Oryctolagus cuniculus: one gene and its partners. The protein of the gene in region 2 interacts with the protein of the main gene of each other region in a pairwise test. Links are inferred from orthologs where the notes say so. Each region holds a gene or a part of one and is shown on either strand. Other genes may lie near its edges. The genes, in order: PPFIA1, MBIP, TXLNB, NDEL1, FXR2, EPB41L3 and MCM7.

Region 1 (3,500 bases), on a different chromosome or scaffold from region 2:
AAGTCTAGCGCAAGTGATCCTGTCTCTGAAAGAAAGGCATTTTCCTACTCCTGACAGAAAAGACAGAAACCCTGGCCCTGTCCAGGCCTCTATCCCACGCTCGCAGCTGGTGACCAGAGTCCCGGCAGCAGTGTCCAGCACGCTCCTGTGGACAGACAGGACACCTGCAGACCAGGGGCTCAGGGACACAAAAGTGGGGGTGAGACTGTCCCACGGATGCGGGGCCTCGACCCAGGGAGGGTGACGAGCAAGGGCCAGGAAGGAGTCCCGGGCAGCGTCCCGGCAGCTCAGCAGAACCGCGCCCCAGGTCCCACCTTGGACAGTGCTGCCACGCGCTGGGCCAGCTCCGCCTCCACCTCGGGCAGCGTCTCTGCCTTCCTGAGCGTCTGCTGCAGCTTCTGCTCCGCCAGCTCCAGGCGCTCCTGCAACTGGCGGTTTTTATCCTCAGTCTACGAAGAGAGCACAGCGTCACAGGCGTCAGCGCTCAGCCGTCTCCATCAGAAACGCACACACACAGAGACCACGGCAGCACCACGGCAGCCCGGCTGCTCTGGGAGCTGCGGGGGGAGGGGACTTTTCTTGCTGCAGTACCACACGCCCACCTCTGGGCTTGAGTGCAGTGTGCAAAACGCCTCTTGCCAAAGTATTTGGGGCTTCAAAAAGTTCACAGAATTTTTTTTTTTTTTTTTGAGAGACAGAGACCGAGAGCTCCTATGCGCTGATTCACTTTCCGAATGCCCACACAGTCAGGACTTGGCCAGGACCTAAGCCACGAGCTGGGAACTCAATTCAGGTCTCCCTGTGCGTGGCCGGACCCCAGCGCCGGGAGCCACGACGCTGCCTCCCAGGGCCTGCAGCAGCAAGAAGCTGGGGCGAAGAGCCAGGCTTCGGTGTCCTCCCCAACATCTTCCCTAAGCCGGACACCTGTCTGCACTGCCGCTCGACCCCATCTGCCTGAACTTCCTGAAGCCCCCATTCTGAACACCTGAAGGCTCCCAGACGTGAAGGAAAAGGAGTTTTCGTGGAGGCCTGGTTATCTCACCCACGGAGGGGGCAGTAAACGCTCCAGGCAAGCAGGGACCAAGCCGAGGCTGACCCTGCTCCCAGCAGACACCACAGGTGTGAGCCAAAAGGTGGCTCTCATCCTGATACAGACCTTCCGAGAACACACGTGACAAGATGCTGTTGGGGCCGGCGCTGAGGCGCAGCAGGCTAACGCCCTGGCCTGAAGCGCCAGCATCCCACATGGGCGCCAGTTCGAGATCCAGCTGCTCCACTTCCTATCCAGCTCTCTGCTGTGGCCTGGGAAAGCAGTGGAGGATGGCCCAAATCCTTGGGCCCCTGCACCCACGTGCGAGACCCGGAAGAAGCTCCTGGCTCCTAGCTTCGGATCAGCATAGTTCTAGCCGTTGTAACCATCTGGGGAGTGAACCATCAGATGGAAGACCTCTCTCTCTCTGTGTGTGTGTGTGTGTGTGTGTGTGTGTGTGTAACTATGACACTCTGACTTTCAAATAAATAAATAAACATTAAAAAAAAGAAAGAAATGCTGTCAACTTACTTCTCTGTGAGTACTCTTTAAAAACCATTTTCTTCTAAAAAAATTTTCAATGCAGAAAATTTCACAAGATTTCTTAAAACTCTAAGAATCATCTAAGCTCAGATTCCTGACATATCTGCCCGTTTCCACACAGCCTTCTTCCTTACCCAGTGTACTCACCTCCACACACGCCAACACACGCTACGACACGGAGACCCCACACCCTCAGACACGCCACGCTGGATCGGGCACGGCCACCCCTGTCTGCCTCTCATCTGTCGTCACTGCACACAGCACTTTCAGTGGCTGCCTGACATCTTACTTCCCTTTTTGGTAGAACAATATACTTTATAAAAGACCAAACTGATTTCCAAGAAGCCTGATGTGGTTTTTCTGGCTAACTCCTGATGTCCAGAAGCTACACAGAAATAGGAGTACATGCGGCTCACCAGACCCCAGAAACAAGTAACTCCTACCAGAGATTTCATTTCTTTTTTGTTGTTTTAAGATTCATTCATTATTATTTGAAGGTCAGAGTAAGAGAGAGTGAGAGAGAGAGAGAGATATCTTCCATCCACTTGTTCACTCTCCAAAGGGCCGCCAATGGCCAGGGCTGGGCAAGGCCAAAGCCAGGAGCCAGGAGCCTCCTCAGTCTCCCATGTGGATGGCAGGGGCCCAAACACTGGGGCCATCTGCTCCAGCTCTTCCCAGGCCATTAGCAGGGAGCTGGATCTGAAGTGGAGCAGCCGGGACAGGAACCGATGCCCATATGGGCTGCTGGCATCACAGGTGGTGCCACTCCTGGCTACATCACAACGCTGGCCCCCAAATGTCATTTAAAAAAAAAAAAAAAAAGGATTCTTTTATATACTTGAAAGGCAGAGTTACAGAGTCAGAGAGGGAGGGAGAGGCAGAGAGAGAGAAAGAGATCGCCCACCTGCTAGCTCACTCCCCAAAAGGCCACGACAGCCAAGGCTGGACCAGGATGAAGCCAGGATCCAAGAACTCCATCCAGGTCTCCCAAGTGGGTGCAGGGGCCCAAGCACTTGGGCCATCGTCTGCTGCTTTCCCAGGAGCATTAGCAGGGACTGGATTGCAAGTGGAGCAGCCGGGACTTGAACCAGCGCCCATGTCAGCCCTGCAGGCAGCAACTTAAACAGTGGCATCGCAGCACTGGGCCCAGACTGCATTCCTAGACTCACCACTGACCACTGTCTCCAGGTACCAGCAAATGGCCACTGGCCGTGAAGTCCTTCACCACCCTCTATTCTTTGCAAGAAATGTTAACAACAAGCAACAGATTATCTTTCAACCAAAACCAAAGACTGAACCAAGGAGCAGAGCTCCAAGTTAAACCAAAATCTAAACAATCAAAACCTTAAGTTGAAGTGACCCATGCTCTCCAACACAACATTCTAATATCATACAAACTTTCCACAGCCCGGGAAAAAGGTCTTTCACTTGACTAAAATTCATTAAAGCCAGACAAAGGTCTGTGGAACCCGTCACCTGTCGATGCATGGAATCTTTATTTGCAATCTCATTTTCAAGTTTATCGTTGAGGTCGTGCACAGATGTGGCTTCACGCTGCGCCGCGAGGTAGCGCTTCTCCAGAGTCGTGATTCTCTCTTCCATGTCTTCCTTTTGGGCCATGGCCTAAATGAGGTATTTCAGAGGGGAAAAAAGGTAGAAAATAAATATCTAACATTAATATACCTGAAAGGAAAAAACTGGACTAACTCTAGATTTCAAATTACATATAAAATTAACATCCACAAAATTAAAGTGACAGAGATGCCAATTTTCTCAAATGCTGGTTAAAAAAAACCCAACCTAAAATATAAATACCCACGTGTACGACCAGCAGAGATCTGTCTGAACATTTGGTTATCAAGCTTATCCTTTGTGACAAGATATTACAAAAATCCAAACGATGCAACTCTGCAGCACGGCCAGAATT
Region 2 (4,053 bases):
CAGAACAAAATCATATTTAGAAAACGGTAAAAATCTATAAAGCTAATATCTACTTTAGAATGAAAACCGCCATTTGCAATCTTTGAGTGAAAAGTGAATCACCAGAAACTTTTCTAGGAACATGTGTTTAAGAATCAATTTAACTATATTTTTCAGAAATAACGTTTTTCTATAAATAAAGGTGTTACATCCAATTCAAATACAGATCTTATGAGCTATAATTATAATAAAACAAAAAGATGAATCACTATGCAAGAAATCAGATTCAAGGTTACCAATAAAAACACCATATTGAATGAACACATGTGACAGAACCTTACCGCTCTCTGAACATGACACCAGAAGCATTTAAAGTCCAATATTAGACAACTGTACACAAAGATTAGTTAATATTATAGTGACTTTAACAATTTTGTCAGACATCTGCTATCATGTACAGAAGTAACCCAATACCAAAATTTTACAGCCCTCAAAGAGATCTATAGTTGGTTACAATAAATTGATGGATGTGGTTTTGGAAGAAAGCAAAGAAATCCTCAACCAAGGCAAGGCAACACATCTTCTGGAGAAAACACCTTACAGAAAATAAATCCTAATGTCTGGATTACAACTTCATTTCAATTAATAATGGAAGCTTTTAAGGGTAATTAAGGATACTTGGTCTTTTAAGAAAACCACAAAATAATGTTGCAAATTCGTTCTAAAACTATCCCAATTTATCCAAAATTCAGTCAACAAATTCCCTTTTAGTAATAAATTCTATGCATTTTTCTCTTAAACTTGGAATAGTAAACCAGTCAAAAGTCTATCAGTTTGCAATTAATTGGACTATTTAAATCTGTACTTTCAGTAAAACTTTATTAAATTATGAAAATCTGAGCAAGCATTAAATTTAGTTTGGTAAAATGAACCATCTATAAGCCCATTAAGGATAAAAATTAGTAAATTTTGCCATCTGGAATAGAAAACATACAATTTTATGCTTCCAACTGAGAGTTAATAATACGATGATATCTAGTATGAACTTGGGCATATAACAACATACATGCTAAAAAAACTTTAAACTTATTGCAAAAGGAAACACTGATGTGGACATGGTTCTCTGACTTTCATTCTTAAACAATACATCTCAAACTACAGATTGTCATCAAAATGGTTAGCAGTGAATTGAGAGGCAATCATATTTTTGATACTTATATAGAAGGTCCCTTGCCTATGTCAAGAAAACCTCACCAAATTTTTACCCTAAACATTTTTGACAGGTGACGCAAGTAAACTGTAATCAATTTTCTACTTGTACTATTAGAATATCTGAATTAAAATTTTTAAAAGTTTCAAAAGTTCAACAAGCAAATATTTCAAAAGCAATGTTTAAATTATCTCTCAGTATGAATTTGTACAAATATCCTATCACTGGGGCAGGAGGAACTCTACAAATAATGGATGACCATACATTTTTCTCAACCTGATATCAGAATATGAATAAAATGTAATGTTCCAATGTCCAAGCCATAAAAAGTTCTGTAACTTTTCAACCATTTAAAAGGTCCTTGGTCTTCTAATAACCATCAGAAGTACCCACGTCCTTGGCAACCCACCGAGTTTACAAGGTGTACCACTTAGGAGACTCTATTAATAACTGCCTCATTACACAAAACAGAATGCTTACTTACAGTAATGTTCTTTATAAGCCACAACATGCCAAGCTTTTTAAAAATACTCCAACAGCTTTTTAAAAAGGTGTCTCTCCATACCCTCAAGGATTTAAAAGGGAATTTTCAGAATTCAGACAAATGCTCCAATTTCATAGGAACTTATCTTTGACACAAATGCCTGTTTTCACCACATGCACTAGTAACAGTCCCAGAACAAAGTTACAGTAAAATATTGTCTCCGTAAGATAAGGAAGAAATTATTTCTTTCTAAGAGGCAGACAAACACACCGCAAGGCTATTCCTCGTTTAAAATTCAATCCGAAGTTTACAGCTTGAATCTCAATACTGACTATCAGTGTTAAGAACCCACCTTTTAAAATCCATTTTATAAGGTAGGTCTGCAAAAGCGGTTTACGAGCCAATTAAACTCCTTCCTGAACACCTCGTCAGACGGCAGTTCTACCGCAAACAGCAACTTTAAGTTAGAAGTTGATTAACCGTTTTACTCTACTCCCTGATGCAAAGTGTAACAGATGGGCACACACCCACAGGGCAACCAGAAAGAAAACCAAGTGACTCAGAGGGTCGCTTTTCCAAAAACTTCAGTCCGTACTGACCGACCACCCAGTTTCTCGAAGGAGTAAGCTGCCGGGAACAAGACCCCGAGAGCAGGCACCCCTAAACCCCGACGGAAGCTTTTCTGCTTCCATTCCCTGCAGACCTGCTCCGCGGGCCACTGGGTTTCCCCTCGGACCACCCTCGCTCCCTCTCTGAGAGGACAGCAGCGTGGTCATCTGGACCGCAGCCGGTACCGAGCGAGGGCGGGCACGGCCGCCGCCGGCTGCCCCCCGGCCGGCCTCCGCCACAGGGACAAGTGGGGGAAGGGCGGACGGCCCACTGCCCCGGTTCCCCGGGCCACCACCCACCTGTCCAGCCAGGGTGTGCAGAGAGCGAAAGAGTTCGCAGAGCACCTCTCGGGAGAGGCTGGGGCTGCAGCTGCGTTCCAGGTCCCTGTCACCGATGCTCGGGTAACTAAGCTCGGTAGCAGCGGCCATGACACCTTCGCAAGCCGCCCCCGCCAACGCCGAGATGCACTCACTACTCCACCCCTCCCTCTCCTGCTTTCGTCGCTCCCCGATGACGTAAAAACAAAGCGTCTCGTTTAGATAGGGCTTGCGGCCCCACCTACCCCGTGTGACTGACAGGCATGTTAACCAATCAAGTGTTAACTACAGCTTTGCGCCAAGCTGGTAACTGCTGACTGGCGCCAGGCTAGATTCTCTATTTGGAGCGGTGATTGGGGTTGTAGTCAGCTGACAGCCTCGTGGAGCCTATTTTGACTCTTAAAGGTTTCTTCTGAGTGTTGGTTAAGAGGAGAGTTAGATTTTAATGTTAAGAGTTTGAGGCCCCAAGTTAACATTCGAAATTTTAACAAGGCAGTATGGCGTGGTTTGGAGAAAGATTGCTGGTCAGAATGGGTGGGTGCCACACGTGTTTCTAAACACTAAGAAACTTCTAAGTGGATAGAACGTGCACAACTCTACAGGGCTGTTTAAAACGTACACAAGTCAACACAACTAATTTTTCATACAGGGGAAAGGAGGAGGTAAAAGAACACTGTGCTCCATTATGCCTTGCTTTTCTATGGGGGGGACGACGTGACTTGACTGACTGTGATCTGAGATTGAACCCCTATAATGGAAAGACAGGGCCCAGCCTCTTGTCTGTCTCCAGGAGCCCAAGGTGTCCTTGCCTGTCGGGTATCAAAAGGAATTCACTGAACTGGGGAGAGATACAGCTGACCCGACAAAGTTCCACTCACAGGACTCAAGGAGTCCCTTGTTGGCCAGCACTGCTTGGAAGGAGTTGTTTAGGGGAATTCCAGGTCTGGAGTAGAAGGAAACTACCATTTGCTTGTAAGCCCCACCTTCACCTCTCCTAGGCCAACAGAAGCCCACCTGGGCATCAAAAAAATTCTCTAAGGAGCACAGCATCACAGACCAATCAAAGAAAACTCACTAGCACACTGACCAACCGGGAACCTGAGCATGAGCTGACCCTGCACCTCTCAGCTCCAATTTCAGTCTATAAAAAAACACCCCAAATTCCCCGGGGGAGCTCCAGCAGGGAAATGGCAACAGCTGCCCCTGGGAGGGGACCCAGACTTGGGGGTTCTATAACGACAGCTCCAAGAGTTTGGGGTGGTTGTCCTGGAACATATCTGCTAAATAATTTGTCAGGTTTTAAAGTGTGCAGCAGTTGAGTGGTAACTTTAAAGATGCTCAACCCTTAAATTGTTTCAAAGAAGTAAAACACTGTCTATGTGATTCCAACAGGAATTTAACCCAGGTTAAATTTCACACAGATCACAATCTTTGAATTAGAAGGGCATAAAACC
Region 3 (3,500 bases), on a different chromosome or scaffold from region 2:
GCCTGGGATTGATTGCCACTTCTGCTTCTTTTTTTTTTTTTGACAGGCAGAGTGGACAGTGAGAGAGACAGAGAGAAAGGTCTTCCTTTGCCGTTGGTTCACCCTCCAATGGCTGCCCTGGCCAGCGCACCGCACCGCACTGATCTGAAGCCAGGAGCCAGGTGCTTCTCCTGGTCTCCCATGGGGTGCAGGGCCCAAGCGCTTGGGCCATCCTCCACTGCACTCCCTGGCCACAGCAGAGAGCTGGCCTGGAAGAGGGGCAACCGGGACAGAATCCGGCGCCCTGACCAGGACTAGAACCCGGTGTGCCGGCGCCGCAAGGCGGAGGATTAGCCTAGTGAGCTGCGGCGCGGGCCCACTTCTGCTTCTAATCCAGCTTCCTATTAACACAGCTGGGAGGCAGCAAATTATGGCCCAAGTGCTTGGGTCCTGCCGCCTTGTGGGAGACCATGATGGAGTTCCTGGCAGCTGTTGTCAATATTTAGGGAGTGAACCAGCAGATGGAAGATCAGTCTCTCTTTCTCTCCCTCTTCTCTTCACCCTCTCCTCAACTGCCTTCCAAATAAATAAAAATAAAGTAGCACCTATTCTGGGTGCTTTGGCTGGTGTCTTTTTTTTTTTTTTTTTTTTTTTTTTTTGACAGGCAGAGTGGACAGTGAGAGAGAGAGACAGAGAGAAAGGTCTTCCTTTGCCGTTGGTTCACCCTCCAATGGCCGCTGCGGAGGCGCGCTGCGGCCGGCGCACCGCGCTGATCCTGTGGCAGGAGCCAGGAGCCAGGTGCTTTTCCTGGTCTCCCATGGGGTGCAGGGCCCAAGCACCTGGGCCATCCTCCACCGCACTCCCTGGCCACAGCAGAGAGCTGGCCTGGAAGAGGGGCAACCGGGACAGAATCCGGCGCCCCGACCGGGACTAGAACCCGGTGTGCCGGCGCCGCTAGGCGGAGGATTAGCCTAGTGAGCCACGGCGCCGGCCAGCTGGTGTCTTTCAATATATTCAAATCAAGTTATTAATTTATTCTGCACCTGTGATATGCTAGGCACTGGGGAAATTCAGTGCCAAATGAGACTCATTCTACCTTTAAGAAATTCAGTGTAGGGGCCGATGCTGTGGTGTAGTGGGTAAAGCCGCTGCCTGCAGTGCTGGCATCCCATGTGGGCACTGGTTCAAGTCCCAGCTGCTCCCCTTCTGATGTAGCTTTCTGCTAATGGCCTGGGAAAGCAGAAGATGGTCCCAGTCCTTGGGCCCCTGCGCCAGCGTGGGAGACCTGGAAGAAGCTCCTAGCTCCTGGCTTCAGATCGGCTCAGCTCCGGCCGTTGCGGCCATTTGGGGAGTGAACCAGCAGATGGAAGACCTCTCTCTCTCTCTCTCTCTGCTTCTGCCTCTGCCTCTCTGAACTCTGCCCTTTCAAATAAATATATAAATCTTAAAAAAAAATAGCAATTCAGTTTAGCAGGTGGAGTGCTGCTGTTCAACTGTTGAATCAACAAGTAAGCATATGAGTTAGGGTCACAAAGCTCTTTATGAATCTAATTTAGAATCAGATTCTAAATGGCTTTTGCTCTGATTATTTTTATTTCAATTTAATATATCACATTCCTTCCTTGCATCCCATTTATCTCTTTTTCAAATATAATTATTTGTACTATCAAATTTTAATTACATTCTAAGTGTGAATGTTTTGACTAGACTGGGGGTGGGGAGGTAAAAGCTAAGAGACAAACTTTCTCACCTCTTCAATCATATCCAACAGAGCTTTGTTACAATTTTCAAACCGGGATTTCCATGTGGCGGTGTCCTTTTCCAGCTTCTTCATTTTCTTAGTCATCTACAGAAAATAGAATGTTCTAGTGTTAACCCTGAAGAATGAATGCATCGAGGAAGCTGTGAGTTCTCTCTTGGACATCAAGAGTAGTCCTTTTGTTACCAGCTACTGAAGCAAACAGCTGTTCGATGTCAAGAATGAAGATTGCAGAAGAATTGTGATTTATTTCTGCATCCTCTAGTCACTGGTACATACACGTTTGCACCAGAGTCAGTTCAGGAAAAAGGAAACTGCTTAGGAACACACTTTTTTTTCATTGTTTTTTTTTCTTTCATTTAAAACAAAAATATCTTTACTGAGTCCCATGAATAAGCTTGCAATTTAGATTATTTGCTTTATTGAATAGGAGACTCCACAGTGGTGAGAAGGCTGGCATGGTTTCTTAGTCATTAAAATGCTGACACTGTTTGGGCACATTTGAGAAGTAGGCACATAAAAGCAGTTTTTTGTTTTTACATTTGTAGTTTGAGGGAGAGTTCACAGAATGTAATTAGACACATCATTCCTCTCATCCTTGAGGCAGTCTCATAGGTATGGTTCTGTTTTCACCCCTGCTTTAGAGATAGGGAAGCTGAGACTCAGAGCAGTGGAGTAATATTCAGGTTAGTTAACAGAAGAGGGACTGGAGTTACTCCATTCCGTTTTGTGCAACATGTGCGGTGTCTGCTGGTCACCAGGCCCTGGGCTGGGCATGGGGCATACAGAAGTTAATAAGATGTCATCTCTTTTTGAAATTGAGGCAGCTCACATTCCCAGTTGTAGGATTTCCTCTCTGCTTGAGTAAAGTGAAGAACAAAGGATACAGTTAGTTATGGTTTCCCTGGATGAACCATAGCTGGGCACTTGCTGCTTCAAGCCAAGCTGCCTGAGGCTAGGCTGACTGTCAGCCCCTGGCACATAGAGAAGTGAGGTGAGCCCTGAATGATTTTTTTTTTTTTTTTTTTTTACTTCTGACCACATAGTAACAAAATCAGTACTTTATAAACTTTTTAAGGTCATCACCCTTTAAGAATTTTATGAAATCTATGGGATCACACCTTAGGAAAATGCAAAGATGTGGATCAGTTTTGTTTTTGCTAATTTCCAGAGAATTCTCAGGTCAGCTACTACAGGTTATAAGCAGAGCTCAGATTAAGAATTCCCTTCTTGATCTAATATTTACTACAATGTCAAAGCTATGTAATTTTGAACTTTAAAGTGTTTTCTGCTTTTGTATTTATTCAGCCTTAAATTCTAGAAATTTGAGAGAGGTTTTAAAAATGGATAAATCCATCCTGGAGTGGGAAAGGAAATATTCATTCTCAGAGTGAAAGTATATCCTAGCATTTTTTGGCTCTTGCCAAGAATAATTCACCAGATACTTACCGATAAAAAATACAGTCCAAAAATCATTTGTACCTATAAATGTTTCATTACTTCATGAAATGCATTGAAATATCTTAGAAAAATGAGCCCGAAGGAGAATTTCCTGTCAAAATAGAAAATTCCAGTATTTCATGGGTGATAAGCAATACTCACTTTATCCATTTCCTGTTTGAAAGAGGCAAACACCTCATTGCTTTTTGTCAGTGTGCTCTGGAACTCTTCAAACCTTCCTGAGTAGAGAGTAAGCTGTAAACAGGAGAGAGAGTGTATCTACTTGAGGGCTGCTTTCAAAGGGCTTCCAGAACAAGATAAC
Region 4 (4,244 bases), on a different chromosome or scaffold from region 2:
TTGCTTATGGCAATCAATACCCACTTAGAAATGGTCCCTGGGTACGCGACACCATGAAACTCGTGCAGGAATCTCAGACCTGCAGGCGTGTGGTGACACTCCTTCCCACTTCTGCAGACACAAACCCAGGTCACAGGCGTGGGCTTCTTTTGGTTAAGCCTCAGGTTATGACCCCCATGTCCCGCATTAGAGTGCCTGCGTTTCATGCCTGGCTCTGGCTCTGGCTCCCAATTCCAGCTGTCTGCTAAAGTAGACCCTGGGAGGGAGGCAGCAGGTGATGGCTCAAGTACTTGGGTCCCTGCCACCCATGTGGGAGACCTGGATGGAGCGCCCAGCTTCCAGTTTTCTCCAATGCAGGCATTTTAGGGAGCGAACCAGCAGATGGGAAATCAATCTCTCTCTCTCTCTCTCTCTCTCATACACAGAGAGAGAGAGAGAGAGGGAGTAAGTAATCAGTTTTAAAGTAGGACCTGAAAGAGAGAGGATTCGTGCAAGAGAGTGAGAACTGATTCCTAAGATGATGTTTAGGGTGTCCCAGGACAATAGTATGCAGTAGGACTGGGGGCAGCTAGTCCAGACTGGCGTGATGGGACGAGGCTCCCACGGAGATGTCTCCAAGAGAAAAAAGACAGAAGCTGAGAGATTATCTGATGTGTCAGATCAAATTGACAGGAATTTAATAGCTCTTTTGGAGAGGAGTCAGTGACATGTGTCATAAAAACTAAGGCAACTATCAGCTCCAGGGAAACAAATAGACAAAAGAAAGGGAACGTCATCATCATAATTTATATAGCACCGAGAAAACTTAATACAGTCACAGCGTAACAAACACATATAACATAAGCACAAATACTGACTTAACCAAATTGGTGTTATGCCATATCAGGAGGATGGGGGGACAGTAATGTGGGCAGGGTGAGAGTTTTATACCCTTGCCTTTTACAATAAGAAACCAATAGATCATGATTAACACAGAAAAATAAAGAAATAGCCACATAGGCACTCTATTTGGAAAGAAAAGCAACTAAAAATTTCAAAATATTTGCCTCTGGTAGGGAGAGCCTGGAAGTGGAGGGGTGGGACGTGGAGATGCTGTTTTTCATTGCAAGCTCTGTGTTGCTTTCACAGAGGTAGACGTTGGATTTAAAATAAATGAACCGATAGGGCTTTTCTTAAGGGAGTCTGAACAAATGAGTCAAAAGCGTATCAATGGGGCCAGCGCTGTGGCATAACAGATAAAGCCGCTGCCTGCAGTGCCAGCATCCCATATGGGTGCCAGTTCAAAACCCAGCTGCTCCACTTCGATCCAGCTCTCTGCTATGGTCTGGGAAAGCAGTAGAAGATGGCCCAAGTCCTTGGGTCCCAGTACCCACATGGAGATCTGGAAGAAGCTCCTGGCTCCTGGCTTTGGATTGGCTCAGCTCTGGCCATTGTGGCCATTTGGGGAGCAAACCAGTGGATGGAAGAACTCTCTCTCTCTCTGCCTCTGCCTCTCTGTAACTCTGCCTTTCAAATAAATAAATAAATTTTTTTTTTTTTTTTTTTTGACAGGCAGAGTGGACAGAGAGAGAGACAGAGAGAGAAAGGTCTTCCTTTTTGCCGTTGGTTCACCCTCCAATGGCCGCCGCTGCAGCCGGCGCACCGCGCTGATCCTGGCAGGAGCCAGGAGCCAGGTGCTTTTCCTGGTCTCCCATGGGGTGCAGGGCCCAAGCACCTGGGCCATCCTCCACTGCACTCCCTGGCCATAGCAGAGAGCTGGCCTGGAAGAGGGGCAACCGGGACAGAATCCGGCGCCCCAACCGGGACTCGAACCCGGTGTGCCGGCGCCGCAAGGTGGAGGATTAGCCTATTGAGCCACGGCGCCGGCTCAAATAAATCTTTAAAAAATAATTCCTCATGTAAGGCTAAAAGTCTGTATCCCAAAGTCTTCATTTTTGGGGTACAGATATTCCCCAGTTCTCTGTACTGTATTGTTCCCATTTTTATCAACTATCAGGGAAAAAATATATCTATATATATACTTCCATTTAGAAAATGAAATAAAAGTTACTGTGAGCCCTGAAGAATATATTCTTACAGTTTACAAAACCCCCTCACATTTTCCTGCTTCAGCACCACAAAAACCCAGTGAAACCAGGTGTGTTCCACTTTGCTGATGACAGCCCAGGTTCAGAAGGAAGTATCTGGTCCACAAGCCACCAAGCCAGCCAGCCACGGAGCCAAGGCTCAGTCGCAAGCCCCTCTGTGAGCCAGCACTGTGAGATCACCGTGCAGCACACCAACAGTGGCCCTGCCAGCTCCCCATCACCCATCCCAGCCCAAGGAGCTCCCTCCACAACGCCACAAAAAACAAGTCAAGGTGATCAGAAGCCTAGGAGGATCAGAAAGACACCAAAGCAAACCCCTGTTGTCCACAGGGACACAAACAACTTCACAGACTGACCTTGGCCTCCAACAACCCCCCCAACCACCCACATCCCGAAGGCAGAGGGGGTCCTCAGACACCAGGTCCCCTCCTCCGATGTCTCCCGAGCCAGTGTTCTCCTGACCCAGACCTTGTCCAATCAGCCCCCACCTCCCACTCCCCACCATCCCAAGCTACCTTGTCCTGGGTCCCGGAGCCTTGGCCGCTCACATCCGCAGCAGCCGCAAGGCTTGCGCTGCACCGGCTGAAACAAAGGAGAAGTCAACAGGAAGAGTGAGAATCACCGACCCACAACAGAGACGCAGGACAGGAAGTGGGCGAGAGCCAGGAAGGCTGGGGCCTGCTGTCTCCAAGTGAGGCAACCCCGCCAGGCCCATTGCTCAGTGGGGGGTTGAGCAAGACTGTGGTGCTGCAAGAAATACGGGTCCTGGTTCCTGAGCCAGGCCTTCCACGGCAGGCAGGGGAGCCCCTGGTCTCCCAAGCAAATGCCCGGGCTCTCCCCCACTTTCTGTAAGAGAAGGCGATGAGGGCAGGGCAATGGTGTTTCTATCTCTGTGGTGGCCCCGGCACAGAACCAGTGCAGCCCCGAGCATCAGAGAAACGGCCTGTAAGTCAGACAGAGCCCCGACCTACCTCGTAGCTGAGAGAACAGAAGCGAGTGGCTTTGCCTCTCTGCATCTCATTTTCCCCATCTATAAAACGGAGATAATTCCAGGACTGACCTCAGGGCGTCGTTCAGCGCTTTGTGAGACAGCATGAGTAACCGGCTTCATAGGAGGCAAATTAGTCCCCTTAGTTGTCAGGGGTTGTCCTCTTTCTGCCCCTTTTCCAAACCTGACGCCCTCCCTAAGTCTTAGAGCACCTGGTCTGAAGAGCACCTGCTCCCCCACCCCCACCCCCAGCCACCTGTAGCCTCCACAATGGTCGTAGCCCTCACGTGTCAGTCTCACGCTCCACAAGCAGCACCAGCTGTAAGAACTGTGACTGCAAGCAAATGTGAAAGGAACAGGCTAATAATAGTTACTCAACAAATGCCTGTCAAGGGGCTGGCGCCGTGGCACTTCCTGAGGCACCAGCATCCCGTATGGGTGTTGGTTCAAGTCCAGGCTGCTCTATTTCCCACCCAGCTCCCTGCTAATGCACCTGGGACAGCAGCAGAGGATGGTCCAAGTGCTTGGGTCCCTGCCACCCACATGGGAGACTTGACAGAGCTCCTGGCTTCAGCCTGGATGCAACCATTTGGGAAGTGAACAGCAGATGGGAGATTCTCTCTGTCTCTGTCTGTCTCCTCTTTCTCTCTCTCAACTCTGACTTTCAAATAAATAAATCTTTGAGGAAAAAGGGGGTAGGAGAAGAACTGCTTTTGAGGTCCTTCACTGAGAACGCCTTTCCCAAGGTGGGGATCTTACCTAGGGTCACCCAGGGAAGGTAGGAGCTGCCGGGGGTCTGTTGCTGGATCCCCAGGAACACCCCGCAAAGCACCGGAAGTCATCCCACAGGTGTTTGTGAACCTTAGCGATGTTGTAGAAACAACACCTGGGTAAAGAATGTGGGAAACCTCGGGCACCTGGGCTGAGGGATCCAAGACAGAGGGTGGAGGTCTCCCAGGCAAAGCCCCACACAGAGACGGGGGCAGGATGACCCTCGGCTCCTCTTAACTCCTCCCATCTTCCCCAGAGCCCGGAAAGATGGTGGGGGTGTGTGTGTGCTGAAAGCCCTGGATCTCCTGGAGGGCTGTTCCCGCCTTCGCCTCCCACCAGCTGTAACCCTCGGAGGGGCCCCTGCTGGCCTGGAGCCCTGCTCTCCTCCTGGCAGTCTG
Region 5 (3,500 bases), on a different chromosome or scaffold from region 2:
GTTCAGGTGAGAAAATGAGAGGGACCACAGTTAAAGCACAGAATAGGGAAGATGCAGCTGGTCAGAGCACACCTAGCAAGGAAGGCTTGAGAGGGCCAGGGGACAAAAGGTCAGGCTGCAAAGTGCGAGTGGGACCTGGGAGATGAAGACAGGCTAGGGCTGGAAAGAGGGCTGCCCCCCACGCCCGACATCCCTAACACTCACGCCTCTCTCAGATCCTCAGGCACAGCCATGGTAACCTTGAAGAAGCTGCCTTTGGTTGCAAGGGGATTGGGATTAACTGGCCGAAGTCGCTCCAGGGTAACAATCTCATTGTAGGTGGCATCGCAAGCGGCATACTCAATGACATAGAACTGGCAGAGGAGAAACAGGGAGACGTTGTAGATGGCCTGAGCATCTACTTCCTACCTTTCTAGGAGTAAAATACTTGCTCCAATAGTTCTCCTAAGGCCTACACCGTCACTCACATCTCCCTTCATCATCCGCACACGGGCCAGCCACCAGCCACATGGCTCCTGTTCATTGGCTCGAGAATAAACCTGGAGGGAAGTTGAAAATAAAAGAGATCTTGAAGATTATCCAAAGCCATCAAGAACTGAACAAGCATTTCAATACCTGGGATGCATCCTAAACCAAAGAAAGGAAGCCAGAGGGGCAGGTACCGTGGCACAGTGGGTTAAGTAGCCACTTGAAATGCCTGCATTCCATATTGCATACCACCTTTTTTCTTTTAACGATTTCATTTTATTTGGAGGCAGAGTTAGAGAGAAGGAAAGAAAGAAAGGTCTTCCATCCACTGGTTCACTCTCCAAATGGCCCAATAGCCATTTGAGCTAATACGAAGCCAGGAGCCAGGATCTTCTTCTGGATCTCCCAAATGAGTGCAGGGGCCCAAGCACCTGGGCCATCTTCCACCGCTTTCCCAGGCCATGAACTGGCGTCCACATGGGATGTTGGTGCCACAGGCAGAGGCTTAGCCTACTACGCCACAGTGCTGGCCCTGATACTTACCTTCTTCTTCTTCTTCTTTTTTTTTTTTTTTGGACAGAGTGGACAGTGAGAGAGAGAGAGACAGAGAGAAAGGTCTTCCTTTGCCGTTGGTTCACCCTCCAATGGCTGCTGCAGCCGGTGTGCTGTGGCCGGTGCACCGCGCTGATCCGATGGCAGGAGCCAGGTACTTATCCTGGTCTCCCATGGGGTGCAGGGCCCAAGCACTTGGGCCACCCTCTGCTGCACTCCCTGGCCACAGCAGAGAGCTGGCCTGGAAGAGGGGCAACTGGGACAGAATCCGACGCCCCGACCGGGACTAGAACCCAGTGTGCAGGCGCCGCAAGGCGGAGGATTAGCCTAGTGAGCTGGCCTGGATACTTAATTTCTGACCCAGTTTCCTGCTGATGTGCCTGAGAAGACAGCAGATAATGGCTTAAGTACCTGAGTCCCTGCCAACCTCATGGGAGACTGGGATGGAGTTATTGGTTCCTGGTTTGGGGCCTGGCCTAGCCCTGGCTGATGTGAGCATTTAAGGGAATGAACCTGTCGATGGAAAGTATTTTTGTCTTTCTCTCTCTCCTTGTCACTCTGCCTCTCAAATAAATCTTAATAAAAGAAAAAGAAATAGAGAGGCTGTAAAGAGAGGCCTGACCTGTGGCGTAGAAGGTGAAGCCACTGCCTGCAGCACCAGCAATCCATATGGGTGCTGGTTCAAGTCCCGGCTGCTCCACTTTCAACTGAGCTCCCTGCTAATGTGCCTGAGAAAGCAGTGGAAGATGGCCCAAGTCCTTAGGACCCTGTATCCACGTGGGAGTCCCAGATGAAGCTCCTGGCTTTGGCCTGGCCCAGCTCAGACCATTGCAGCCATTTGGGGAGTGAACCAGCGGATGGAAGGTCCCTCTCTCTGCCTCTTTCTCTCTGTCTTTCCCTCTGGCTGTAACTCTACCTCTCAAATAATACACCTTTTCTAAAAAAACCTTTAAAAAAGAGAAACAGAAACCAACGAAAAGAGATACTACATAAAAATCAAACAGCACTGGATTTTAGATGCCATCATAAAGGAAAGAAAAGTGAATCCCCTACAACTGTAGAGCCCCCTGAGAGTGTGGCTGATTGCTACAGTGACAGGAAGGAAACTGTTGCCTTTTACTTCACCAGCTGCCTGGCTGGATGTGGCTCAGCTGGGGAGAAGGGCCATGAAGGAAGCAGAGAAGAGCCTAGGATCCTGGGCAAAGTGGCATGTGGAGAGTGAGTTCCACGTGCTCTGGACACTGGCCCTTACCTCCACCTCGTCCCCTTCTGTGATCTCCTTATTATAGTCTGCGGGAGGTGGTAGCCGGACATCCCCAAAAGGAATCTGTCTCTCACTCTGCCAGCTGCAAAACAAACAGTGCCATGGACGTTATTCAGAATGACATGCTGCCCTTTCCTTCAGAAAGGGGTTACTGCCTCAACAGAGAAATCTCCACCCTCCCTGGTCCTTAGAGGCTAGCCCTCAGGCCTGGCTCCATTGTACTGTCATCTGTCTCTTGCTAGAATCTAGCCAGTGGGTCAGCTAAGCCCAACCTCACCAAATTCTCAGCCCTCTCCTCTCATGGGATCCAGGTAAGTTGCCCACCCACACCCTCAGCTCTCCCCCACCTATTACATGCCTCATAGGACTCAGCCGCCCCCTCTTCTCCACTCTCCTTCTAGGACCTAGTATGCTGGATTCTCTAGTCCCAAGGTCTTACTTGTTTTCAAAGAAGATGGTAACAGAATCTTCATGGACATCCTTCACAAAGCCCTAGAGTGGATTTTAGAAAAAAAAAAAAAAATGACATTTTACCACAACCTTAATAAGGGGATAGAAACATTGGAAACCTTTAAGCCAGTTTTAGATGGGGCCACGAGCCCTCTGAAGACAGGGCCAGAAAGGTGTATTTGGGAAAAAAGAATGTAACAGTGAGAGAGAGAAAGGAAATGATACTGGCATGGAAAGAGAGGTATGTGGCAAAATCCGGAAATGAGATGAGGTGGGAAAGAAGTACAAGGTAAGGACCACCTGCATGGGTACGGCCTGTAAACTGGTGGTCTAGCATGGCTTCCAGAGGCCTCCCCAGCTGCCCTCTGTGCGCTGAGCAGCCTGCCAGAGTTCAATTAAAATACCAACAACCTTCAGCAAGGCTAAGAATATCCCATGAGACAGCGTGAGGCTGTCCTGGAGCACCTAGCGGACATCAGGATCTGCCAAGAGAGGAGGGGCTAGCCCCCCACTATAGCACGGGACTCGGCCAGACACAGGGCCTAATGCCCGGGTACTAACAGAATAAGGACACTGCAGAAGTTACCAAGGATGAACAGAGTTTACAGAAGGAAAAACTTGGGATATAAAAGATGTCAGATATTTGGGATCATGAAAAATGGACACTGCTGTTAAGGAGAATAAAATGTATGGGGCCCCAATCTTAGGACTGTGCTGAGGAACAAGCATAACTCAAACAGGTCCATCTTTTTTCTGTCACTAACGA
Region 6 (3,500 bases), on a different chromosome or scaffold from region 2:
TTGAAAGGCAGAGAGAGAGAGAGAGAGAGAGAGAGAGAGAGAGGCCACCTGTATTCCCAAATGCCCACAGTGGCTGGGGCTAAGCGTGGGAGCTGGGAACACAACCTGGATCTCCCAAGTGGGTGGCAGGAACTCAATTACTTGAGCCATTAACTGCTGCCTCCCAGGGTCTCCATTCGCAAGAAGCTGGAGTGAGCCGCTGGAGCTGGCACTGCGAATCAAAGCCAGGTACTCCCCCACGGGATATGGTGTCTTCGCCACCGGTCTCTATGCTGGCTCCCCAAGTACATCCTTGGAGCGGAACTAACTGTGGATGGACAGAAACACCAAGCAGGCACAAAGGACAATCCCTGAAGGCACCTGTGAGGTCTCGAAGGCAAAGCCACTTGAATGCAAAACACGAACACACACACATAAAGCAAGGCACAGGCACAAACACGCAGGAGGGAAGCCAGTGGGCACCTGAACCCAGCTCTGAGCAGTGGAGGCAACCCCTCCTATGAACTCTGTTGGCTTTCGGGCAGACTCTAACAAACTGAAGATCTCAGAGCCGTCCATGAGCTTTTCGCCGGAAGCCTGCTTGGTCTGAGTGGACAGAGAAAGGCAGAGTCAAGCACCAGAGACACAGGTCCTCAGCAGAGACACATTCACGGCTTGTTACACACAGCTGGAGGCGCAGGAGAAGGGGAGGAGGAAGGAAGGAAACTAAGAGACGGAGTTCGGAAACGGAAAAGAATGGGAAATAAAATAGCCAACCAGGGTGACCCTGAGCTCTTGGTTGGTAAAGCAGAGAGAGAGAGAGTTATTAGGAGAAGGGCGGCACCCAGTAAAGCGGGTCATGTTTTTCCTTCATTGCCAGGCACAGCAGCACGATCACATCTTGGGAACGGGTAGCTGGAAATAAACATTTTAATGCCCTCTTGGGACTGCGGTATCGACTGAACCATGAAAAAAACTCAAAAAGCTGGGTTGGCTGCTCTCAACACAAAGCCAAGCAGCAAGAGAAACGGGAAGGTGTGGGGCGGAAGGGGCACTGCCTCAGAACAGGTCATGCTGGAATCTAAAGCTGCGGCGGAATGAGAGCCACTGGTTACCACCACGCGGGACGTGGACGACTCGGTATGGTAATGAGCAGTAGCCACGGTCAAGGCTGGCTCCTGGGAGTATCTCCACTCGGACAGGCTCTTCCGTCGGGGACCGAAGAGGCCCACCTTCAAGACCTCACTCTCTTGCACCTGCTCCGTTTTGCCAAGGCGCAGGCTGTCCAGCCCAGGGTGGCCAGCTGCTTCCAGCCTCAGCTCTGCAGCCTTCCTGGTGTCTTCATCCTCAGGGCTCTGCCGACGAGACTCGGCCTCCTTGATGGGTGCCAGAGATTCTGACAACTTCCGCTTTGTCGTCTGGACCTCGGGTCCTCGCTTGGGTTTCTCACCGGCAAGGGCTTCCAGGCCCTCATATTCCGCCAGGCCGGGGCCCCTCTCCGTTTTCAGAGGTGTTTCCAGTGTGGAGGGCGGCTCTGCTTTTTCCCCCTCCTTGGCTTTCCCAGTCATGGTCACAACTCTTCCGGAGACGGTGTCATAGGACTTTCCTAGCGTGTATATCTTCTGCTTGCTTTCTTCTTTCAAGTGCACTTCTCGGGCCAAGTCATGGAGGCCGTGCATGTCAAGGGAGCCAGATTTTAACATGTCGGCTGGGAGGTCACCAGTTCTACTGCTCACCGTCACCACCTTGTAAGTGACAATCTTTTTCAAATCACCATCAACTACCTCAGTGGGTATTTTGTCTACAATAACCCAATCCTCTGTGCCCTATATTTGAAATATAAAAGCTAAATTAGAAATTCTGATGGTTATCTCATTTCTAAAATAAGAACCTTTTAAGAAAATCAGGGCAAGAGCTACAGGCAGGCCTGAGGTGGGGCTGCACAGGACGGGCAGTGTAATAATTAACAGCTGCATTCTCTTCTCATTGGAAATTTACTAACTATAACCTTCAACCTGGAATATACTCTTTAGGCAGAATTACACTTTCAGATTTCTCGACATGAACATGCTTTGGTGGTCAATATTGCAAGAAATATATTTGATCTTGTGATTAACTATGGTCATTTTATATTTCAAGATTACAAAACATTACTGAAGTCATTATTACAAGTTAGTTTCTGTATGTGAACACAAAAGAACAATTCTCTGTGTTAAATATACTGTATACTTCAAGTACAAGGATACTTCAAAAAGTCTGTAGGAAAATGCATTTAGAAAAAGTGTATTTTGGTGCAAAAAGCTTTGAAATCCATGCAGTTTTTTTCACTTTACGCATCTTCCAGGAACTTTTTGAAAACCCTCATTCTCACAAGAACTTGCCAACGTTATTCACATTTTTGTACTTATAATTTTCTGTGTTTGTGAGCTGTACTTCCTTTTGTTGGTATCTGACTCCACTAGAGCAATTACCTGATAAATATCGTGTGTGCCTGAGTTCTAGGCACTTCCATGAAATAGCTCCCATTGAGGGACACTGTTGGAGACTTGTATAAACAGATCACAGCCACGTGTGCAGTGTGCAAATTTATTTACAACTGAAGTTCACTGTCTCAGTAGCTTCTTCCCCACTTTCCTCAATGTGAATCCCAGTACGGCAGAAGAAATGAAAGTCTGTATTCAGATGTCACTGGGCAGTTGACTAGCCTCATAGCTTACAGAAGGGAACCAGGAGCGGGTGAGTGCTTTGGTTTACATTTTAATCTAGGATGTTTTCTACATTCATATTTACGGTAGTCTGAAAACTTGAATCTAGAAATAGCATGTGCCTTAAGGAAAATGACTACATCTTGATTACATGCTGGTGCTGGGTTAAATGAAATGAATTGAAAAAAATAACCTCTAGGGTCGCTGGGACAGTTTTCTGGAAAATGACTTGACGAGAGGTAACCATAGAGTCAGCAGAGCCTCCTTCCTGCATTTTCTTGATCACACTCGGCTATGGGAAAACCAATAAAAGTTCAGAGCTTTCAAAATCAATCAAGGTCAGCTACAGTACAGTAAAGAAAAACCAACTGTGGGTAAAAACAGGCAGTGAAGTTTCACTAAGACAAAAGTACAATCATGGTGCTTCAATGACAACATATAATCACCTAACAGAAGCACAAGGAAGTGACATGTTACAAATAATGAAAATACTAAGGAAATTCCTTTGTCTTTTCCCTAGAATTGAAGCAAAACTTATAGACCCACCTTACTTTTAAATGAGAGAAATTTAAACAGGAAAATAAAACTAAAGACATTTTAATAATACTGAAGTCTGAACAGCAATTCCTTCTACAAAGTCCTTGATGTTTATTTTTACCTGAGACTCAAGGAATGAAGAGCTTCCTTGTTGCAAAAATATAACTTTTTCAGAAATTTCTCTTTCTTCTTTGGTCTGTTTGAATAAAGGGGGTTGGGTTGGAGAAGAGGAAGTAGACAGTTTCCAAAAAGGCAAGTTAGGAAGTGAGTTCTTTTATT
Region 7 (2,257 bases), on a different chromosome or scaffold from region 2:
AACATGATGTGGAAATCCCTCAGCGATACTGGAGTCAAACACAGAGTCACCCACTCGTTTTTCTGCTTAAAAGTCCTTACTTCTGAGAGTTTTCTCATTAAATGGAGGAACCATTAGGCAGAAAACACCATGCCCATGTGTGTACCCCATTCCCCCTCTTCATGTTCTGCTTTCCCATGAACCTTTTCTCCCACAGACGCTACATAGCCATGTGCCGTGAGAAGCAGCCCACAGTGCCAGAGTCCCTGGCAGACTACATCACAGCAGCATACGTGGAGATGAGGCGAGAGGCCTGGGCCAGTAAGGATGCCACATACACTTCCGCCCGGACACTGCTGGCCATTCTCCGACTTTCCACTGCTCTGGTGAGTGCCTGGTTCCCCGTACTGCTGGAGGGTGTCCGTTTCCATCCCTACTGGCAATGAACCCTCACTTGGTCCTCTCGCTGCCGCCTCCTCCCACACCCGCCCTGCTGGGGCTAAAGTGCTGACAGTGCAGATAGTGGTCCTGTCCGTGCTACCGCACTGTGGGTACTTGCTGCTCCAGCAGGGCACGCACGTCCACGGAAGGAGAGGCCTTCTCTCCCCACTTCTGCAGCCTCACTGAAGCGGGGGAGGGTCCCTCTCTCTCCCCACCTCCTTGATCCTGTGCTATAAGCTTCCTTTCTGTCCTCACATCTCGGACCGTAGTCCCGGGGGCTCCAAAGTGCTGTTCGTGCAGGTAGTGTGATTACCTGACCTACTGCTGAGCTAGCACTTCCCGAGCCCCTGGGACACAGCCTCTCTGCCAACCGCCTGCTAGGCTGAGCTCCCCAGGCTGCATCTGTCGTGGTGGGGAGCCCACTGGAGTTCGGAAGGGTCTGGTCTCCCTCACAGGACAGCTGAACACCGGGACTGGCCAGTGTTGAGAGGCGGAGACTTGGGCAATTGCTGGACGCTGCCCTGGGCATTGCACTTGTCTCGGTCTGACAGTGCCGGCCCTACACTGCGGATGTGGGGGAGCAGGGGAGGGGTCCCTGCTCCTTTTGCGAGCAGACGGCACATAGGTTGTCCAGCCTTAAAGCTGGAACCAAGGGGGTTTCTCTGACTTTATTCCATTCTCCTCCTGTCCCCCTCTCTCCCCTACTTTCCCCTTAGGCACGTCTGAGAATGGTGGACACAGTGGAGAAGGAAGATGTGAATGAAGCCATAAGGCTCATGGAGATGTCCAAGGACTCACTTCTGGGCGACAAGGGGCAGACAGCCAGGTGAGTGGTTTAATGATGAGATTGGGTCACCTTGACCGTTGCAGGCTTCAGCATCCAGATGCATGAGCTGACCACTCTCCGTTGTCACTGTCAAGTGTCCTGGCTTGTGCCCTGATTCCATACCCTCGTGTTTCCTTCAGGACACAGAGGCCAGCAGATGTGATATTTGCCACTGTCCGCGAGTTGGTCTCGGGGGCCCGGAGCGTCCGGTTTTCTGAGGCAGAGCAGCGCTGCATATCCCGTGGCTTCACACCTGCCCAATTCCAAGCAGCTCTGGACGAGTATGAGGAGTTGAATGTCTGGCAGGTCAATGCTTCCCGGACACGGATCACTTTTGTCTGATTCCAACCTGCTTGAGACCTTGGGGACCCACTGTGCTCGCCGCTCACCTGCTGCCTTTGCAGGTGTAACCCAGCTCCGGAGGGGTGGGAGGAGCCCCTCTTCCTGTGCTGCACTTGCTTGTTTTGCTACTTTTGTTAATATAATAAAGTGTGTAGATTGCTGCCTTGTACCTTGGTCCTGACTTCTGTTAAACAGGTGTTATGGGGCTTTAAGAGTCCTCTCTCCTTCCCCTTTATGCTGGCCCTACCCCATCTCTGAGCTTTCTGAGAAAGTACCTTCGCTACCCACCAGCCACCACGAGATGCTGGGGAGGCAGTGAGGAGCAAGTTCCTATTTAACCTCAGCACCAGTGAGAACCATAGGCAAGACAGCGGTTCCCTTTCCTATTTCTTGAGGTGTATCCATCACAACAGCTCAGATAGCTCGATCCCCAGCTTCTGTAAAGCCCCTTCAAGGGGGCTGAGGAAAAGACCAGGAGTGGCATGCAGTGGTGTTACCAGGCACAGGTAAATCCCCGCTTTCTGGCCTTTCCCAAGTGAGTGCCAATAGCACCACTGTCAACAGGCAGGGGTGAGGCACTGGGTCAGTGCAGTAACCCAGGGGAAACCACTCCCTCTAATTCTCAGCACCCACAGGAGCCAGGCTTTTGAAATGTCCCTAATAAAAATG

The links.
Region 1: the proteins of MBIP (region 2) and PPFIA1 interact in binary tests that used the Homo sapiens proteins (3 or more experiments, as listed by UniProt). The two-hybrid records come from large-scale screens. The link is inferred for Oryctolagus cuniculus from reciprocal best matches to the Homo sapiens genes MBIP and PPFIA1.
Region 3: the proteins of MBIP (region 2) and TXLNB interact in binary tests that used the Homo sapiens proteins (3 or more experiments, as listed by UniProt). The two-hybrid records come from large-scale screens. The link is inferred for Oryctolagus cuniculus from reciprocal best matches to the Homo sapiens genes MBIP and TXLNB.
Region 4: the proteins of MBIP (region 2) and NDEL1 interact in binary tests that used the Homo sapiens proteins (3 or more experiments, as listed by UniProt). The two-hybrid records come from large-scale screens. The link is inferred for Oryctolagus cuniculus from reciprocal best matches to the Homo sapiens genes MBIP and NDEL1.
Region 5: the proteins of MBIP (region 2) and FXR2 interact in binary tests that used the Homo sapiens proteins (3 or more experiments, as listed by UniProt). The two-hybrid records come from large-scale screens. The link is inferred for Oryctolagus cuniculus from reciprocal best matches to the Homo sapiens genes MBIP and FXR2.
Region 6: the proteins of MBIP (region 2) and EPB41L3 interact in a two-hybrid assay, tested with the Homo sapiens proteins (2 studies listed by BioGRID). The two-hybrid records come from large-scale screens. The link is inferred for Oryctolagus cuniculus from reciprocal best matches to the Homo sapiens genes MBIP and EPB41L3.
Region 7: the proteins of MBIP (region 2) and MCM7 interact in binary tests that used the Homo sapiens proteins (3 or more experiments, as listed by UniProt). The two-hybrid records come from large-scale screens. The link is inferred for Oryctolagus cuniculus from reciprocal best matches to the Homo sapiens genes MBIP and MCM7.

What each region holds. Positions count from the first base shown.
Region 1 is NC_091432.1:2,279,229-2,282,728, reverse strand, and holds part of PPFIA1 (liprin-alpha-1), read right to left. Parts: intron 3,197-3,500; coding exon 3,050-3,196; intron 450-3,049; coding exon 315-449; intron 1-314. UniProt on the Homo sapiens protein: May regulate the disassembly of focal adhesions. May localize receptor-like tyrosine phosphatases type 2A at specific sites on the plasma membrane, possibly regulating their interaction with the extracellular environment and their association with substrates.
Region 2 is NC_091443.1:39,323,082-39,327,134, reverse strand, and holds the start of MBIP (MAP3K12-binding inhibitory protein 1), read right to left. Parts: upstream 2,801-4,053; 5' UTR 2,711-2,800; coding exon 2,582-2,710; intron 1-2,581. UniProt on the Homo sapiens protein: Inhibits the MAP3K12 activity to induce the activation of the JNK/SAPK pathway. Component of the ATAC complex, a complex with histone acetyltransferase activity on histones H3 and H4.
Region 3 is NC_091436.1:29,593,107-29,596,606, reverse strand, and holds part of TXLNB (beta-taxilin), read right to left. Parts: intron 3,434-3,500; coding exon 3,341-3,433; intron 1,826-3,340; coding exon 1,730-1,825; intron 1-1,729. UniProt on the Homo sapiens protein: Promotes motor nerve regeneration. May be involved in intracellular vesicle traffic.
Region 4 is NC_091448.1:52,861,497-52,865,740, reverse strand, and holds the start of NDEL1 (nuclear distribution protein nudE-like 1), read right to left. Parts: upstream 2,801-4,244; 5' UTR 2,603-2,800; intron 1-2,602. UniProt on the Homo sapiens protein: Required for organization of the cellular microtubule array and microtubule anchoring at the centrosome. May regulate microtubule organization at least in part by targeting the microtubule severing protein KATNA1 to the centrosome.
Region 5 is NC_091448.1:52,166,767-52,170,266, forward strand, and holds part of FXR2 (RNA-binding protein FXR2), read right to left. Parts: intron 2,777-3,500; coding exon 2,724-2,776; intron 2,367-2,723; coding exon 2,273-2,366; intron 540-2,272; coding exon 468-539; intron 354-467; coding exon 205-353; intron 1-204. UniProt on the Homo sapiens protein: mRNA-binding protein that acts as a regulator of mRNAs translation and/or stability, and which is required for adult hippocampal neurogenesis. Specifically binds to AU-rich elements (AREs) in the 3'-UTR of target mRNAs.
Region 6 is NC_091441.1:62,322,209-62,325,708, forward strand, and holds part of EPB41L3 (band 4.1-like protein 3), read right to left. Parts: intron 3,418-3,500; coding exon 3,343-3,417; intron 2,977-3,342; coding exon 2,878-2,976; intron 1,806-2,877; coding exon 1,095-1,805; intron 586-1,094; coding exon 463-585; intron 1-462. UniProt on the Homo sapiens protein: Tumor suppressor that inhibits cell proliferation and promotes apoptosis. Modulates the activity of protein arginine N-methyltransferases, including PRMT3 and PRMT5.
Region 7 is NC_091450.1:42,362,448-42,364,704, reverse strand, and holds the end of MCM7 (DNA replication licensing factor MCM7), read left to right. Parts: intron 1-196; coding exon 197-365; intron 366-479; exon of another isoform or gene 480-540; intron 541-701; exon of another isoform or gene 702-763; intron 764-908; exon of another isoform or gene 909-968; intron 969-1,136; coding exon 1,137-1,246; intron 1,247-1,386; coding exon 1,387-1,588; 3' UTR 1,589-1,757; downstream 1,758-2,257. UniProt on the Homo sapiens protein: Acts as a component of the MCM2-7 complex (MCM complex) which is the replicative helicase essential for 'once per cell cycle' DNA replication initiation and elongation in eukaryotic cells.